Linked DNA regions of Macaca mulatta. Each later gene encodes a partner of the first gene's protein in a complex. Links are inferred from orthologs where the notes say so. Each region holds a gene or a part of one and is shown on either strand. Other genes may lie near its edges.

Region 1 (3,910 bases):
GTCTGTCTCCCTGGCTGACCGAATGCTCACTGTGACCCCGCTCCAGGATCGCCAAGGCCTGTTCCCTGATCTCCATCATTTCTTACAGGTTTTCCTCCCTCAAGCACTTAAACATCTGAAGTGAAGACATGGCCCCTAAAGGGCAATAAAGCTGCTAGTTTATTAATACAGAGTCTCCCGTTTCCTTTCATTTCCATCTGGTCATAATGCTTCGCCTCCCCCAGAACTTCATGAAGCTGCTCTCCTCTGACCCCGAACATGGGTCTCTCCCTACTGCTCTCCACCCCAGCAGCCTCTCCTTCCTACAGTTCGCACAGCTTGCGGGGAGTGCGGGGGCAGCACCGTGCGTGGCACCTGGCACCCGCGCAGAGTTCCTGAATGGCAGAGCGGTGGGTGGCTGGAACAGTACTGAGAAGAGCCAGGTTTGCCTCCACATTCTTCCTGCCGCCTCAGATTAATGGGGACAAAGATGGAGATTTGCGTTCAGGGTTCTTCATTCTCTCCTTTAAACGAGGAGAGTTCATCCCGTTCTTAAACTGGGTAAGAGATTTCAAACCTGAACATGAGTCAAAAGCCATGAATATCAGAAGCGACGATGTCGGGTCTTCCAGCGTCAGCCCCTCCAGGGGCCGAGTCCGGAGGAGGCGGGAGGGACAGGGCGCGTTCTCCCTCGTGTCCCTGCCCTGCTTCGGGCCGGAGGGCCGGTGTCCTTGCTCGCAGTAACAGCACCCTGGAGCTGTAAGGGGTTAGATGTGAGCAAACGTCACTTTGGCAGGCGGGTTCAGACCGGGGCCCCTGTTAGACACTCATCCCTTTCTGGAGGAAAAGCAGAGCAGGAACTAAAGGATATAGCACACACACTGCCACCTCCGCGCAGCAGTCGTTCCTCGCTCCCATGAGTTTCACAGAATCATGTGAGGGGCTTGGCAGAACCTACCATCGAGTCACTCGTCCCTGGGTGGGCCAGAGGGGGACGCCCCCAGCAGCCTGACGGCGCCAGGCCAGCAGCGGCGCCACGTAGCCGAGAACCGGCGGCTTTTCCAGCGGGTTCTCACAGCTTCCCCGCCCTCCACGCTGTCTACCTCCACGTCTAGACTCCAATTGGTCCGCTGCACCTGAGGGGCGGGCCAGTCAAGATCTCCAATGCGCAGGCGCGAGCTTTTTCCGCGCTGGCCAGCAGGCCCCACCCACTCCGTTCTTTTTCCAATTCGGCGCCACTGGATACCGAACTGTCGTACGTATGTCTTCTGTGTCGTCCTCGCTTTCCGGCTGCTGTTTCTCCACGGCTCTCCCCTTTCCCCCTCCTTTCTCTCCTGGGCGGCTTACTTTGCGGCAGCGGGGAGAACCCCACCCCCTTTCTTTGCGGAATCACCATGGCGGCTGGGGTAAGTTTGCCGGCGCTGGTGGTTCGGGTCATCCTATCCACCGCCATCCTTTGCCCGAGTGGGGCCAGTCGGCGCCAGAGGAGTTCTGAGGCTGAATGGGGAACTGATTCTGGGTCTACAGACCGTACTGCTGGAGAGCAGGGTTCCTACGGCCTGGAGGGGAACTGAGGCTGGGGCTCTCGGAGGCCAGAGGTGGAAGGGTCTGGGGAAGAGGAGAAAAGGGATGCCGAATCTGGGCCGTCCGAAGCCTGAAAAAGGGGTTCGGCTCTATTGCCGCCTTGAGGCGTAGTATCTGGGTAGGTTGACGAACTTCTGTGACCGTTTTGTGGAGTAACAGCGGGGACAGGGTGAAGAGCGGGTCTTTGTAGGCAGGTCCGGCTGGCACGGTTAAAGGTAGTCTGTCAGGGAGGTTTGGGAGCGAGAGGATTCTCCGGACAGTGAAGTCAGACCAATTGGAGTCCGCTGGCCAGCTTAATAGAGAAGGCAACGCTGGGGAACTTGCTGCGGGACAGGACCGGAGGGATGGTATGCGCGACACGGAAAGAAAGGCTTTTGAGGGAGAGGAGTTGATTTAAGAAGACGGCATGCCATCCCCTATCTCTGGCCACTCTGAGAGGAACTAGAAATCTCTCGATCGTTGTGCGTTCCTTAGAGCAGCTGAGCAGTAGAGTAGGCAGGCGCTCGGAACCATCAATGAATGAAACGAGGGCTCCGTGAAGGGAAGGGAGTATGTTTGTAGGCAGATGGAGTCTGATGGAGCTAGAAGTTCTGGATTTCTTGGGAGATAGATTTGAGGGAAAGAGAATGCTTCTAGAGGTGTCCTTAGGGAAGGTCAAATCTGTCAACAAGCTTTATTTAGCAGTTGGTGTGTAGTTCTGTTCTTGGTATTTCGGAGGATTCTGATTACATATGACAAGTGTTAAAGGACTTGGTTCACCAGAGGAAGTAAAAGGGTGAGTTGAACACATTGGGATTATTCAGGCAAGTCATCCTGGGGAGTGGCATTTAGGACTGGGACCCTAATGCTCTTATTAATTTTGTTCCTCTCTTTCTTTCATAGACCCTGTATACGTATCCTGAAAACTGGAGGGCCTTCAAGGCTCTCATCGCTGCACAATACAGCGGGGCTCAGGTCCGCGTGCTCTCCGCACCACCCCACTTCCATTTTGGCCAAACCAACCGCACCCCTGAATTTCTCCGCAAATTTCCTGCCGGCAAGGTGAGTTGGGAGATGGGGAGTGTCCTTCGGTTCTGAGAAACGAAGGCCTGGGATTCTATCATTCTGGAGATGGCCCCCATCTCTAAAAGAGAGCTTCCCATGTTATTTTCTTCAATATTTCAGTGATTTTATTTTGAGATAAATGCAGATTCACATGTAGTTGTAAAAAAAAAAAAAGTACAGAGCTATTCTGTGACTTTATACATTCACGAGTTTACTTTGTGGGAAAGAGAATGAGTTTTGACTAAGCATTTTCAGTGCAAATGTATCAGATTGTCTGTTATGGGCAGGATTCTTACCCCAAGGGGTTTACAGAGATAGGTGAAAAAACATGCTAAGAATGGAGGAGATGAAGTACTATGTGGATCTGGGTCACACACTAATACTTGCACTGATACATTGATACAGGAGTTACTTTTGGTCTTCTGCTTGTTTGATCCAGAGATTTCATACAAATATCTTGTAATATTCAAATCTATTGTGCTTCCTAGTTAACATTGTGAATTCAGATTGCAAAGGATGCCCAGCTCTTGAAGTATTTATTTATGGTTCTTGAGTATCAGATAGTATGGAGAGTTTGGATAGTGAGGATCGTCAGTCTTACATAAGTATTTTTATCCAAAGCAGTTTGGCTTCTGGTATTGGGTAGGGAGAAATTTTGTGTGTTTTACCTTATCTTTTCACTGCTTTGTCCCCAGGTTCCAGCATTTGAGGGTGACGATGGATTCTGTGTGTTTGAGAGCAACGCCATTGCCTACTATGGTAATTTGCAGGGGTATATGGGAATGGGAGAATTTGGAGGTGAGGGTGTACAAGAGGGTGTGAGCGGGGATGGATATGAAGGAATTCTTCAGGACCTGGACTGGTGTTGGCATTCCCCCAGAGTTCTGACCTTTGTGTTCTGCCTCTGCAGTGAGCAATGAGGAGCTGCGGGGAAGTACTCCAGAGGCAGCAGCCCAGGTGGTGCAGTGGGTGAGCTTTGCTGATTCCGACATAGTGCCCCCAGCCAGTACCTGGGTATTCCCCACCTTGGGCATCATGCACCACAACAAACAGGTGAGCCTTGGAACTTTGGGAGAAGCCAGGGGCAGGGGTGGCCTTAGCTCCTGGGTGTTGGGAGTAAGAAATAAAATAGGTTGAAAAAAAGGTGCCAAGGATATATAGGCAATGAGAAGACGTACTTTCTGGGGTACAAGTTTGAAGTAGTGGGCAGTTGATGGAGGAAGTGTCTGTCATGAGTGGTCACAAGAGGGATTGCTGCTGTGAAGAGATTATACCAAATGGTAAAGGGGGTGGCTGGACCAGA
Region 2 (3,910 bases), on another chromosome or scaffold:
ATCCATCTACTTTCTGCCTTCCAAGGTACCACCCTATCCCAATCCACCATCACTCCTTGCCTGGAGTATTTCAATATCTTCTTAACAGGTCACCAGGCTTCCACACTATTCCCACACAGCCCCTCCCCTCTTGACACTGGCAGTGACCTCGGACTGAAATGTTCTTCCCTGGCCCCTCCTTATCCTTCAAATCTTGGCTTCGAAGCCTTTTCTCAGTTTCATTGACCAGCCTATCTAACATTTCCTGACGATTCCCCAGAATATCACCCATTTTATTCTTCTTTACGGACTCATTTCTGGCTCGTAGTAAACGTTCAGTAACTGTTAAGTGAACTGAATCTCTAATTTCTGGTCGTTAATTTGTAGGGACCACTTTCCCGGATTTAAAAAGTGCAGGTGCTCTGGCAGCGTTAAGTCGGTGAAAACAAGACTATTCCGCAAAACAAAAATAACCTGTTTATTCATCAAAAAGTTATTGTTACACTTCTATACTGTCAATTCGTGTGTGAAGTTGTGTCTGATCCAAGACCTCACAGTACAAGCATAGATCCCAATAACTTGTAAACAATATTTTGTTATTCGCAATGCAACCCTGAGCTAACTTTTCAAAAAGTCATTTTTCTCAATTTCCCGTTAGTGAAAGGAATTTAAAAATTCTGTCCAACGTGGTCAATGGACAAAACAAATAAGGACAACAGAAGCGTGAGCCACTGCTAACACAACAGCGACCAAACAATCATGTACTGTACCAGGCGTGTAAAAATCTGGGGGAAAAGGCTCAGTCTTAAGGCTTAAGTCATCGGACACTGGTCCTCTACCGGGGAATAAAACGGCCTCCTCTGAGAGGGGAATGTCCTGAATTTTCCCTGCAGAGGGAAGGTCACCTACAAGCCCGCATTCGGGCCAGCGCTCCCGAGGGCCCCCTAATCCTCATCTTCCTTTCTGCTCCATCAGACCAGAGACCGTGGCTAAAAGCCCCACTTGCCGGCTCTCAGAGGCTTCCGAGGCGGCGGGGCGGGAGGCGGCTCCCAGTCAAGGACAAGAGAAGACTAAGTCGCGTGGGCCAAAGGAAACAGTCCCGTCAATAAATAAGCCTCTGACCCATGCACCTCACCCTTCCCATCCATACAAGACCTCACCTTCTCCCCGGAGCCGCGGAGGCTGTTCTGCTAAACTGTCTGGACCACAACTACCCCCTTGGAGGCCGGGTCGCTTACTCAATATGGCGGCCTCAGCTAACTCTGTCAGCCGGGCCTGGAGAACGGAAAGCCCGGAGGGACTAGAATCCTTGCATTCGATAAGTTTGTCGGCAATTTCCGTCAGCCGACCAGAGGGCGGAGCTGAGGTCGGCCCAGCCCGGAGGCGGGAAGGACAACTTGGACCCGCAGTTCCGCCGGAAGTGGCCGGCAGCCTCGAGGCCGAGCGTCTTCGGTCATCTCCGGCGCTTCTAGGGGCGGTTCCCGTCATCTTCGGGAGCCGTGGAGGTATGAACTTAAGACATGCCCATTTTATTAATTTATTTCCAAACGCAACGAAAGATCCAGGGACAATTTGTGAGCCGTTTAATTCAGGGCCCCCAATTCGTACGTGGAGAAGTGGGAATGCTAACGTACTTTGACCTTTAACCTTCGGTCCGGCGTGGTGGAGGGAAACGCCTCCGTCTCTATATAAGGAATTTTCCGGCTTCTCCGGGCCCTTTTTCCTCTCTTAAGCGCGGGGAGCCCACAACTTGTGCGCTCTCTTTCTGCTGTTTCCCAGCTCTCGGATACAGCCGACACCATGGGTTTCGGAGACCTGAAAAGCCCCGCCGGCCTCCAGGTGCTCAACGATTACCTGGCGGACAAGAGCTACATCGAGGGGTGAGCGGACCGGCTGAGTCGGGGTGGTGGAGGGGTTTCTGGGACCGGGGCCGGGGCCACGTGGCGCAGCGTGTCGGCTGCCGCTGGAGGGAGGGAGACGGGGCCCCAGGGCCCTTTCGAGGATGACGGGAAAGCGCCCCGTGGCCATCTCCCAAGGCCCTCGTGTGGTGCGAGCCCGGCCTCCGGGGAGCGGCTCACGAGCAAAGGAAGGTTAAAATGTGCTTTATTTACACTTAATTCAGCCAGGTGTTTCCACATCGCTGCCCAGTTAATACATGTTAGGTTGTAGATAGAGCAACGTTAGAGATTGCAGTATTTGAGGTCTGCAGACATTTCTCAGGATAGCGCGGTGACCCAAACATATGGTTTGATTTTAAGGAGATAATAAGAAAAGAAAAGCATTAAAGCAACCCTACTGGAGTTAGTGCCCACTAATTAATGTGATGCATAGGCACTGATTATTTATTCGCTGGCGTTTGTTTTTCAAAGGTGTGTGTGAATGTCTCTGTGTCATTGGCAGGTATGTGCCATCACAAGCAGATGTGGCAGTATTTGAAGCCGTGTCCGGGCCACCGCCTGCTGACTTGTGTCATGCCCTACGTTGGTATAATCACATCAAGTCCTACGAAAAGGAAAAGGCCAGGTAAAATCATCTTTGTATCTAGCTGAAGAATAAGACTACTCTCGAAGCTTTATCAGGATGTTCACATGACAAAACTAGACCCAGGCTACTTTAGTTTTGTTGGGGTATTGTAAGCTAAATTTTTCTGTAACCTGAGAAGGCCAAGAGACTGAAGCCCTCCATTTTTTCACAGAACAGGTAGAACATGGACAGCAGCAATTCAACTTTTCCCCACACTGCCCTGCCAATGTGCCTCGACCTTGACCTGGGGGGCCCACCTCTGGGGTGAGAGGGTGGCTCATTCATTCAGTCCTTGGCCATTCTTCTGAAACTGCCAACAAGGGTGGAAGTTTGGGGAAGTGGACTCCAGTTCACTAAGAATGGAACTGAGCATACTTAATGAAATCTCAAACAGAAATGTTCATACTGAAAGAGTAAATCATAGTGAGTATTGAAAATAATGTCTCACATGGTACTAATGCTTGTCGGGTGAGGAGTTGAACATATGATAGTGTTTACCTGGGAGCATGTGAAAGGGTAAATTATTATTGCAAAAGGGATCTAGTGATAAGTAGTGATTAAAACAAGTTATTTTGTATTGTCTGGAAAAGTATGTTATACTAGCTCAATAGTGGTTGAATTTAAATGTTTTTCAAGCCTGCCAGGAGTGAAGAAAGCTTTGGGCAAGTATGGTCCTGCTGATGTGGAAGACACTACAGGAAGTGGAGCTACAGATAGTAAAGATGATGATGATATTGATCTCTTTGGATCTGATGATGAGGAGGTATGGCATCTTCTATAAAGAATATATCGGCCAGACACGGTGGCTCACGCCTGTAATCCCAGCATGTTGGGAGGCTGAGGCGGGTGAATCACGAGGTCAGGAGTTCAAGACCAGCCTGACCAAGATGGTGAAACCCTGTCTGTTCTAAAAATTTAAAAAAATGTGGCGGGTGTCTGTAATCCCAGCTACTCAGGAGGCTAAGGCAGAGAATTGCTTGAACCTGGGAGGCGGAGATTGCAGTAAGCCGAGATCATGCCACTGCACTCCAGCCTGGGCGACAGAGCAAGACTCCGTCTCAAAAAAAAAAAAGAATACATCGATCAGCAATTTTATCAATGTGGTTAAGCCAAATTGCCTGGATTTGAATCCTGGCTTTAACTTATATGCCTTTTTCAAATTCTGACTGGTTGCATGATGAATAAAATCAAATCACCATCTTTCGGCTGAGTTCGTGATGGATTTGCTTTTTTCTGATTAAGCCAGTCTTTTTTGTGATGACCCCACTAGCTTTAAGCAGATGACAACCGACTTTCTGAAGTGGATTAATTTTTTTTCTTTACAGGAAAGTGAAGAGGCTAAGAGGCTAAGAGAAGAACGTCTTGCACAATATGAATCAAAGAAAGCCAAAAGTAGGTCATTTGTTTT

The links.
Region 2: the proteins of EEF1G (region 1) and EEF1B2 are in contact, whole or in part, in a crystal structure (PDB 5DQS), measured with the Homo sapiens proteins. The link is inferred for Macaca mulatta from reciprocal best matches to the Homo sapiens genes EEF1G and EEF1B2. Residues at the interface, in NP_001395.1 of Homo sapiens: Leu146, Lys147, Thr148, Arg149, Thr150, Phe151, Glu155, Arg156, Pro185, Asn186, Arg189, Leu192, Thr193, Asn196, Gln197, Pro198; in NP_001032752.1 of Homo sapiens: Ala20, Asp21, Lys22, Ser23, Tyr24, Tyr28, Val29, Cys50, His51, Arg54, Asn57, His58, Ser61, Tyr62, Glu65.

The regions. Positions count from the first base shown.
Region 1 is NC_133419.1:11,492,599-11,496,508, forward strand, and holds the start of EEF1G (elongation factor 1-gamma), read left to right. Parts: upstream 1-1,364; 5' UTR 1,365-1,373; coding exon 1,374-1,385; intron 1,386-2,445; coding exon 2,446-2,604; intron 2,605-3,302; coding exon 3,303-3,366; intron 3,367-3,517; coding exon 3,518-3,660; intron 3,661-3,910. Other genes in the region: TUT1 (speckle targeted PIP5K1A-regulated poly(A) polymerase), read left to right, coding at 1-124. UniProt on the Homo sapiens protein: Probably plays a role in anchoring the complex to other cellular components.
Region 2 is NC_133417.1:111,411,968-111,415,877, forward strand, and holds the start of EEF1B2 (elongation factor 1-beta), read left to right. Parts: upstream 1-1,454; 5' UTR 1,455-1,779; coding exon 1,780-1,859; intron 1,860-2,379; coding exon 2,380-2,502; intron 2,503-3,138; coding exon 3,139-3,265; intron 3,266-3,668; exon of another isoform or gene 3,669-3,747; intron 3,748-3,827; coding exon 3,828-3,894; intron 3,895-3,910. UniProt on the Homo sapiens protein: Catalytic subunit of the guanine nucleotide exchange factor (GEF) (eEF1B subcomplex) of the eukaryotic elongation factor 1 complex (eEF1).